Linked DNA regions of Caenorhabditis elegans. The protein of the gene in region 1 purifies or fractionates together with the protein of each later gene. This does not show direct contact. Each region holds a gene or a part of one and is shown in the gene's direction. Other genes may lie near its edges. The genes, in order: nhr-166 and lron-12.

The links.
Region 2: the proteins of nhr-166 (region 1) and lron-12 fractionate together in Caenorhabditis elegans (co-fractionation; one large-scale study listed by BioGRID). This does not show direct contact.

Annotation. Positions count from the first base shown.
Region 1 is NC_003280.10:3,878,419-3,882,342, forward strand, and holds nhr-166 (Nuclear Hormone Receptor family), read left to right. Parts: upstream 1-1,826; coding exon 1,827-1,898; intron 1,899-2,022; coding exon 2,023-2,131; intron 2,132-2,622; coding exon 2,623-2,888; intron 2,889-2,930; coding exon 2,931-3,053; intron 3,054-3,100; coding exon 3,101-3,350; intron 3,351-3,409; coding exon 3,410-3,681; 3' UTR 3,682-3,757; downstream 3,758-3,924. Other genes in the region: srh-250 (Serpentine Receptor, class H), read left to right, coding at 212-524, 812-1,473.
Region 2 is NC_003281.10:12,116,395-12,120,318, reverse strand, and holds the start of lron-12 (eLRR (extracellular Leucine-Rich Repeat) ONly), read left to right. Parts: upstream 1-1,837; 5' UTR 1,838-1,903; coding exon 1,904-2,041; intron 2,042-2,386; coding exon 2,387-2,592; intron 2,593-2,966; coding exon 2,967-3,183; intron 3,184-3,237; coding exon 3,238-3,381; intron 3,382-3,583; exon of another isoform or gene 3,584-3,660; intron 3,661-3,924.

The DNA of each region.
Region 1 (3,924 bases):
TATGACTTTATATGTACATATATGAGTAACTCTCAACAGGTTTCTTTAGTTCCTCACTTCAAAATGATGTAAGAACGGGTCTTAATTAAAACTTTTAATTAGCTATGTATTTCTGTTTTTTTTCTTTATTCTTTGACAAAAAAAGCATAACCTCTAGGAAAATAACATCAGGAATCTGTTATTTTTTGATTTTTTTCGCTCCGATTAGCAAATGTCAAATTGTTCCTCAGACGCCACGTACTTTGCCTCCCCAAGTTTTCTATTACTAACAACCCGTATTATTACTTGCTTCGAAATTCCAATATGGATATTCGGAGCCTATTGTATTCAATTCAAGACACCCGAGAAAATGAAGTCAGTGAAGGGGCTCATGTTGAATGTGCACTTTTGGAGCACGATTTCTGACTTGACGATTTGCTGTATCGGAGTGCCGTATCTTCATCTGCCATGTTTAGCTGGGTATGGGCTCGGGCTGGTGCAGGCTCCAGGGCCATTGCTTTATTTGGGATTTACGTTTTTGGGAGGTGTGTTGAAGTTTATATACATACTTTAACTTTTCGAAAAGACTGGAATTTTACTCGAAATTTTATGGTTTGTCAGCATAACTACAAACTACAAACTACAAAAAGCTCATGGGGAGACAAAGTTCTTACATAATTTTATAGTATTCTGACCATAACAGATTGATCAAAACTGACTAACTTTTTGTAGTTTTGTAGTTTGTAGGTTGTAGTTTGTAGTTTGTAGTTTACAGTTTGTAGTTTCTAGTTTACGGTCTATAGTTTGTAGTTTGTTTTATGATTTTTTCCAGCCTTCGCTGTCTCCATCATCGCCGTCTATGAAAACCGCCTCCTCACTGTCATCAATCCTACCTCTCGCTGGCACAAGTTCCGAAAGGCCTACCTACCGCTTATGTGCCTATTCCCTCCCACCTACACCATACCGATTTTCGCTTCACTCCCTGAGCAAGAGCATGCTCGTGAACATGTCTTGAAATCCATCCCATGTCTTAAAGTGTTTTCTCTGAATTTTCAGGAATTATTCGTTTTGACTCTGAAACCAATTGTACCAGCGATTTGTGGTGTATTTGCAGCGAGTATCGCAATTTTCCCGATTGTAATATTTTTCACACTAACTTTCCGGCAGCTTTTGAAAAGACAGAAAAACTATAAATACTCCTATCGAACTGTGAGAGTTCAAAAAAATTTCCTAGTATCCATGTCATTGCAATTTGTTTTTATCATGACTTTTATGTTTATCCCCTGCGTGCTTTTACTGTATATTGTAATTTTCAAGTATCACAATCAAATTCTCAATAACTTTATTATAATTTTGTTCTCATGTTTTGGAACCGGATCTACTGTTGTGATAATATTGGTTTATAAGCCCTATAGGGAATTTGCGTTTTTAGTACTTACATGTTCTAGGTCGAGAAAAGTTGAAAATGTTGTTGTACCTGCTATATTAACTTGAACGAATAAATTTGTAGCAATCAAATTTCTTATTATCAAGCAGGAATTTAATTGGGATAGGCAGGCAGGTAGGCACGTATACCTGAAAAGTTGAGAAGCTAGATTTAACGATTAAAGATCAAAATCAAGAACATTTTATTATATTTCAGATTTTCAACACATGAATGATTTCAAGCTTTTCTGTTTTGGTTTAGTGAAACGTGTGATTATATCCCGCCGACTATGTACCTGAAGCATGAAATCAGAGTTATCATTACTCCTAGCTACAACTCCTTAGCGTATATCCCTCGCGTGGGCGGAGCGTGAGCCAGTTTTTGCTTATAAAACTAATCTTATTTATTGCTCCGTGAAGCAATGTCCGAACCTCCGAAGAAGCCATTTGCTTGTGCTATCTGCCGAAACAAGTCAAGTGGATGCCACTATGGGGTAAGTTTTCCTTGTTGTAGGTTGGAAGGTTGGTAGGCAGGTAGATAGGTAGGCAAGTAGGTAGAATATGAGCAATTCAGGCATAATGCATAACTATGAATTAAGATTAATCTCATAAGTTTAGGTACTGTCATGTGATGCTTGCAAGATGTTCTTCAAACGAACTTATTTGATGGAGAAGTACTATACATGTAGAAGGCAGGAAAGTTGTTACAATATGGACGGTGGGAACAGTGAGTTAAAAATTTTTGAAATAAAAATAGTTCCGGATAATAAAAATAGTTCCGGAAGCTACCAAAATGCATTATACATCTAATATGCATAAAACACTGCATGTATTACACATCTCAAATTGTATTTTTGTTCAAATGTGTAATATAGCCCTCTGCAGGCATGGTGCATAATCAACGTGTTCATTTGTGCTCATTTGTGCCTGTGCTCATTTTAACTTCCGGTCCCACTTTTGATGTTTTTTCGTGATCACACGTACCTGTCTGCCAAAGCGTGACTATATTTATCAAACAACCGGAAGTTCACCTAGAGTTTGTACATATTCTTTCTAAGATTATAGACACATCTTTGGAAAAATGTAAGATCTCGTTGAACTTTGAAACGGATCATTTTCGAGTTTTGTTAGATGTTTGATAAAGTTTTGGTTTCTGTGGTTTTTATAGGCGCGATCTGTAGACACAACTGTAGGCACAATTTTTTAAAACTTTTCCAGGAAAATGCAAAGCGTGCCGCTTCAAAAAGTGCCTGGAAGTTGGGATGAACCCTGAACTATTTTCTCGCTCCGAATCTCAAATAATCTCAACAAATATCCCCACACAACTAATCACTCAAGACCATCGAAATGCTGAATTTCTGCAAAAGCTGAAAATCTTGGACAAGACTCGCCATGAAGTGTTCAAGATTATCGACACCTACGAGAATCCGAGTTTCGTAGATCTGGTTCGTCAGGAATCCCGACTCAGTTGTTATCTTAGGCCGGTAAGTGCATATATGAAATGGCGAAAAAACGTGTGTTTTCAGAAAAATATAAGCTGGGAAAATACAGAACGAAAGTTGAAGCCTTGGGGATCTCTGGGCATGCTTCTCGCTGTTGAAACTATCAAATCTTTGGATTTTTACCCTAAACTTTTGCTTTCTGATAGAGTAAGTCCTTACTTTACTCGAGGCTTCTATGAGCTAAAAACTTTTAGATTCTTCTCCTGGAAACCGTCACTCTGAAAAGTTTCCATCTCTCCGTTGCCTTCGATTCATTCTCGCAGAAAAAGGAAAAAATATTGGCGCCCGATGGGTCGGAAATGTTTCCAGACTCGCTTAACAAAATGGACTTTTGTAAGGATCTAATTATGAGATTATTGACAACACCAGTTAAGCCGTTGATTGCAATGAAATTGACTGAAACGGAGTACCTGCTGCTGGGCATCATTGTGATCTGTAATCCAGGTGAGGAGGGAGCCTACCTGCCTGCCTACCTACCTATGTACCTACATTTTCTTTTTCAGAAATCGACGGCCTATCCCCCTCGGGAAAAGCGATAATCACCGCATTCCTCCAAAAAACTATTAATGTTCTTCTCCAGTTCTGCCTCATCAACAATCCTAGATCTGCTCCTAGTCGACTTTTAGAGATAATTTCTATCAATCAGATCCTGAATCGGCAGTTCCACGCAAGCTACAAGCTATTTGATGCTCTGCGGAAACAATGGGACCCGACAATGAGCTTCCAAAAAGTTTTGGTAGAAAGTTGCAAAACGAGGGGATATGATTTGAGTTAGAGACAATTATTATAACTTGTCCTTATGATTTGAAATCTATTTTAGTGTGTAGAGTTTGTTCTAATAAAGTTTGTTTTTCTGTTTGTACATCAAACTTATTTGAGTGATCAACCGCAGACATCAGGTCCAAAATAACAAAAATGAAAATTTCTAGTAGACTTCCTGCCACAAACAAGATGTGAAATATGTGGTATAAACCTTTAACCGAATACATGAAAAGTTTTCAGAATCCCTGTGAAATTC
Region 2 (3,924 bases), on another chromosome or scaffold:
ATTGCCGCCCACCCCTGTTTTAGGTTAGTGTTTCCGTCTTCTAAAAAAGCTCTCTAAAAATTTCCGGGAAATTGATATCCGGCAATCGGCAAATCGGCAAATCGGCAATTTGCCGATTTGCCGAATGGCAATTTCCACCCCTGACTCAAACCTCTCTATTTGTTTTTAAAAACTCTCAACTTTGGACTAAACTTTTTTCTTACAAACTCATTTTTCGGTAATTTCCCCCATCACAATACGCTTTCTTCAAATTCAATTTTCTCGAATATATATTCAGAATATCGCCGGAGGCAAAGAGATAATTAAGTGACTTCTAGACTCCACCCCTTCCGATTTCACTCTTGATGAGCTCCGCGAGCCCAGGCCATATCGCTTTACACCTTCAAGTATCCGATCTTCAGATAGAATTCCACATTTTATAAAAATATTGTGTGATAAGGAGGATCGAGTGAGAAAGATAGAGATAAAGTGTTCAGTGTCAGTGCACACATGTTAGTTTATCATTTCTCTTCGTTCTGATATCAATCCACTTTTCAAACACCCTTTTGACATTAGACGTGTGCCGCTCTGTCACTTGTTGGGTGGTCCATGTGTTTTATTGTTTTGATTTGAGATTTACGAAATTTAAATGACAATTGGAAAATTTCCTCTGAAAATCAAAAGTTTAAATTTATTCTGGTTCACTAAAAAATTAAAATTTTTAGGCAAAAACATTTTGTTTTTCGATCTGATTTTTTTTTTTTTCGTGTATTTCGTGTTTTTTTCCGCCAAAAAAATTTCTCAGAAAATTTGAATTTTCAGCCAAAGTGTTCTCCCAAAAATTTGAACTTCCCTGAAAACATAGTTTCAGAATTTTTGAATTTCCCGCTAAATTATTTTTTAGAAATTTTGAATTTCCCTGAAAACATAGTTTCAGAAAATTTGGATTTCCCGCCAAAATTTTTCTCAGAATTTTTGAATTTCCCGCTAAATTATTTTTTAGAAATTTTGAATTTCTCGCCAACATATTTTTTCTCAGAAAATTTGAATTTCCCGCCAAAAAACTTTTTTCTCAGAAAATTTGAATTTCCCGCCAAAATGTTTTGTCGCAGAAAATTTGAATTCCCTGCCAATAATTATTTTCTCACAATCAGAAAGTTTGAATTTCGTGCCAATATATTTTTCTCAGAAAATTTGAATCTCCTTCCAAAAAATTTTTCACAGAAAATTTGAATTTCCCGCCAAAAAAAATTCGCAGAAATTTTTAACTTTCCGCCAAAATTTTTTCGCATAAAGTTTGAATTTCCCAACTTATTTCTCTTGTTTCCGAAATAAAATTTTTAACGTTTCAGAGCTGTTTAAAACACTTTTTTGAAACTTTTAGAAACTACCATTGCAAAAACAAACTGGAATTTTTTTTTAAAAAGTGGCTCTGAAAATCTTAACTCATTTCCTCTCCCTTTCTAATCCAATCAAATCATGAGTCATATTATAACATTTTAAAACTTAAAACTAATGTTGTTTGTGTTGATTCCATCTATGCCCCCATCATCATCTAGTCATTTTTTTTCAAAAACTAAAAAACTTGTTGTGCTCATTTTTTACGAGCTCGGAACACACAACTTGTTGGTGTCCCCCCCCCCCCCCCCCCGTAAACATGCTCATTATTTGAGTGACACATGCTCATTTGAGTAAACATGCTCATTATTTGAGTGACAAGTCATTGGAGTCACCTCATTAAATGTGTAAGGAAGGGCTTCCAGGTGCGATGTCAGGGCCTGACGCCTGCCTGAAACCTGCTTTTTTGAATTTTTTTTCGTGGTTTTTTTTTAAATCTAAAAAATGTACTTTTTTTCAGATTGATCTCTGATGATTTTGTTGTTAGGAACGACGTGTTAATGCTATTCATTCGAATAATACTCAAATGAATCTTTTTTCCGATGTGCAAAAATTCAACATTTTTATTTGGAAACTATTGATTTTATTTCATTTTTTGAAATATTCAAATGCCCTCCGAGACACTTGTCCGATGGGATGCCAATGCGATGAGGACAAGCAACAGGTAAATTGAAGGCCTGGCGCCTGCCTGAAACCTGCCCGCCTGACGCTGGCCTTTTCCCTTTTTTTCTGCGTTTTGACGTGAATTTTCAAATTTCAAATTCTCATTTCTATAAGTTTGATGAAGATCAAGTTAAGGCGCGTATTAAGGCGAGAGGCAGGCGGAGGTCGCCTAAAGGTCAAGCAGGCAGGCAGGCGTTTTAACGCCTACACGGAAAACCTATACTTGACTTAGTCTCAAAAAATAGATCTTAAACTCTCTAATTTCAAATTTTTTAGCTTGCTCAAATTTCAAATTTCAAAAACCTTCTCAAATAATGATTGAGTGACAAGACTGATATATTTTCAGGTGACATGTGAAGGGCAACAAGTTGTAACTCTACCTGACAGGCTTCCGTCTGGATATGAAAGCCTCGTCATCAGAAACTCTTCTGTCCGAACAATTGAGAAAAATTCGTTTCGAAAAATGGAAAAGTTGATGCAAATTGAATTTGAGAATAATCCGAATCTTGGAACAATTGAGAAATTGGCATTTAAGGGGCTGAAGAAGATTAGGTAAATAAATTGATATTTCAAAAATAATAAATTCATAAGAAAAATTTATAAACTTACATATAAAATGGGCAAACCTGAGAAATCATAGAAACAATTTTCAACACTTTTTCGAATTTTCGGTCAAAAAATGACAATTCCTGAATTTTTTCGCATATTTTAACTATGCTTCGAACATTCCGAAATGCTCTGAAAATTTCTTGCAAATCGGCAAATTGCAGGAATTGAAAATTTCCTGCAAATCGGCAAATTGCCGAAATTGAAAATTTCCTGCAAACCGATTTGCCGATTTTCCGTTATGCCGGAAAAAATTTGCCGGAAAAAATTTGACAGCAATTGCCTAATTCACATTCCGCTAAACAATTGTATGTTTTCAGACTAATAAAATTCACCACCTGCCCCGGATTAACAGAACTCCAGAAGAACGCATTCAGTGGAATTCAAAATCAAATGGGTCTCAAGATAATTTTCGAAAAAACTCCGATTCATCGAATCGACGGGCACACATTCCGAAATGCACAAAATATTCGAGAGCTGACAATTTCTGGAGAAGAATTGGCTCTTTCTAGGCACTGTTTTGCAAATATCAATCAGGTTTGTAGATTTTTTTTGTTTAAAATTAAAAACTAAAAATATTAAATTTTTCAGCTCGATTTTCTCACTGTTTCCGGAGTTGTGCTCATTGAGCCCGAGATATTCACAAATTCGACGCGTTTCCACGTGGTTCACTTTAAAAACTCTCAGTTCGACATTCCACCGAGCACATTTAGCACCTTGTCACATACATCTCATGTAAGTTTTTGTGATTTTTGAGAAGATTGTCTCAAAATTTTTTTTAATAATAAATTTAAAAAATGGCTTTTTTTTCAATTTTGCAAAAAAAAATTTGAATTCCCGCGCATATGAATTCCCAAGTTTTGACATTTTGCGACGTTTTTCGGAGAATTCGAAGAAACTAGAAAAATTATCTGAAAATGTTTTGTCACCTCCCCCGTCTAAGCCTAAGCCTAAGCCTAAGCCTGAGCCTAAGACTAAAACTAAGTCCAAGTCTAAGCCTAAGTGTAAGCCTAAAAATTCAACCGCATCTAAAGAATTGGGCCTGAAATAATTTTTCAGAATTCGCTAAGAAATATCGATAATTTGAAAATTATCTATTTTAGGATAGTTATTGAATTTTTTCTGAAAATTTTAAATTCGAATAAGAGAGAAAACTAAAATACCTTTTGAATTTAGCCAAAAAAATTAGAAAAATTGTTTAAAAAATTAATTTGAAAATTAATTTGAAATTTTCATTAACAAGCTGAGTTTTATTCAATTAAAAAAAAATTTAATCAT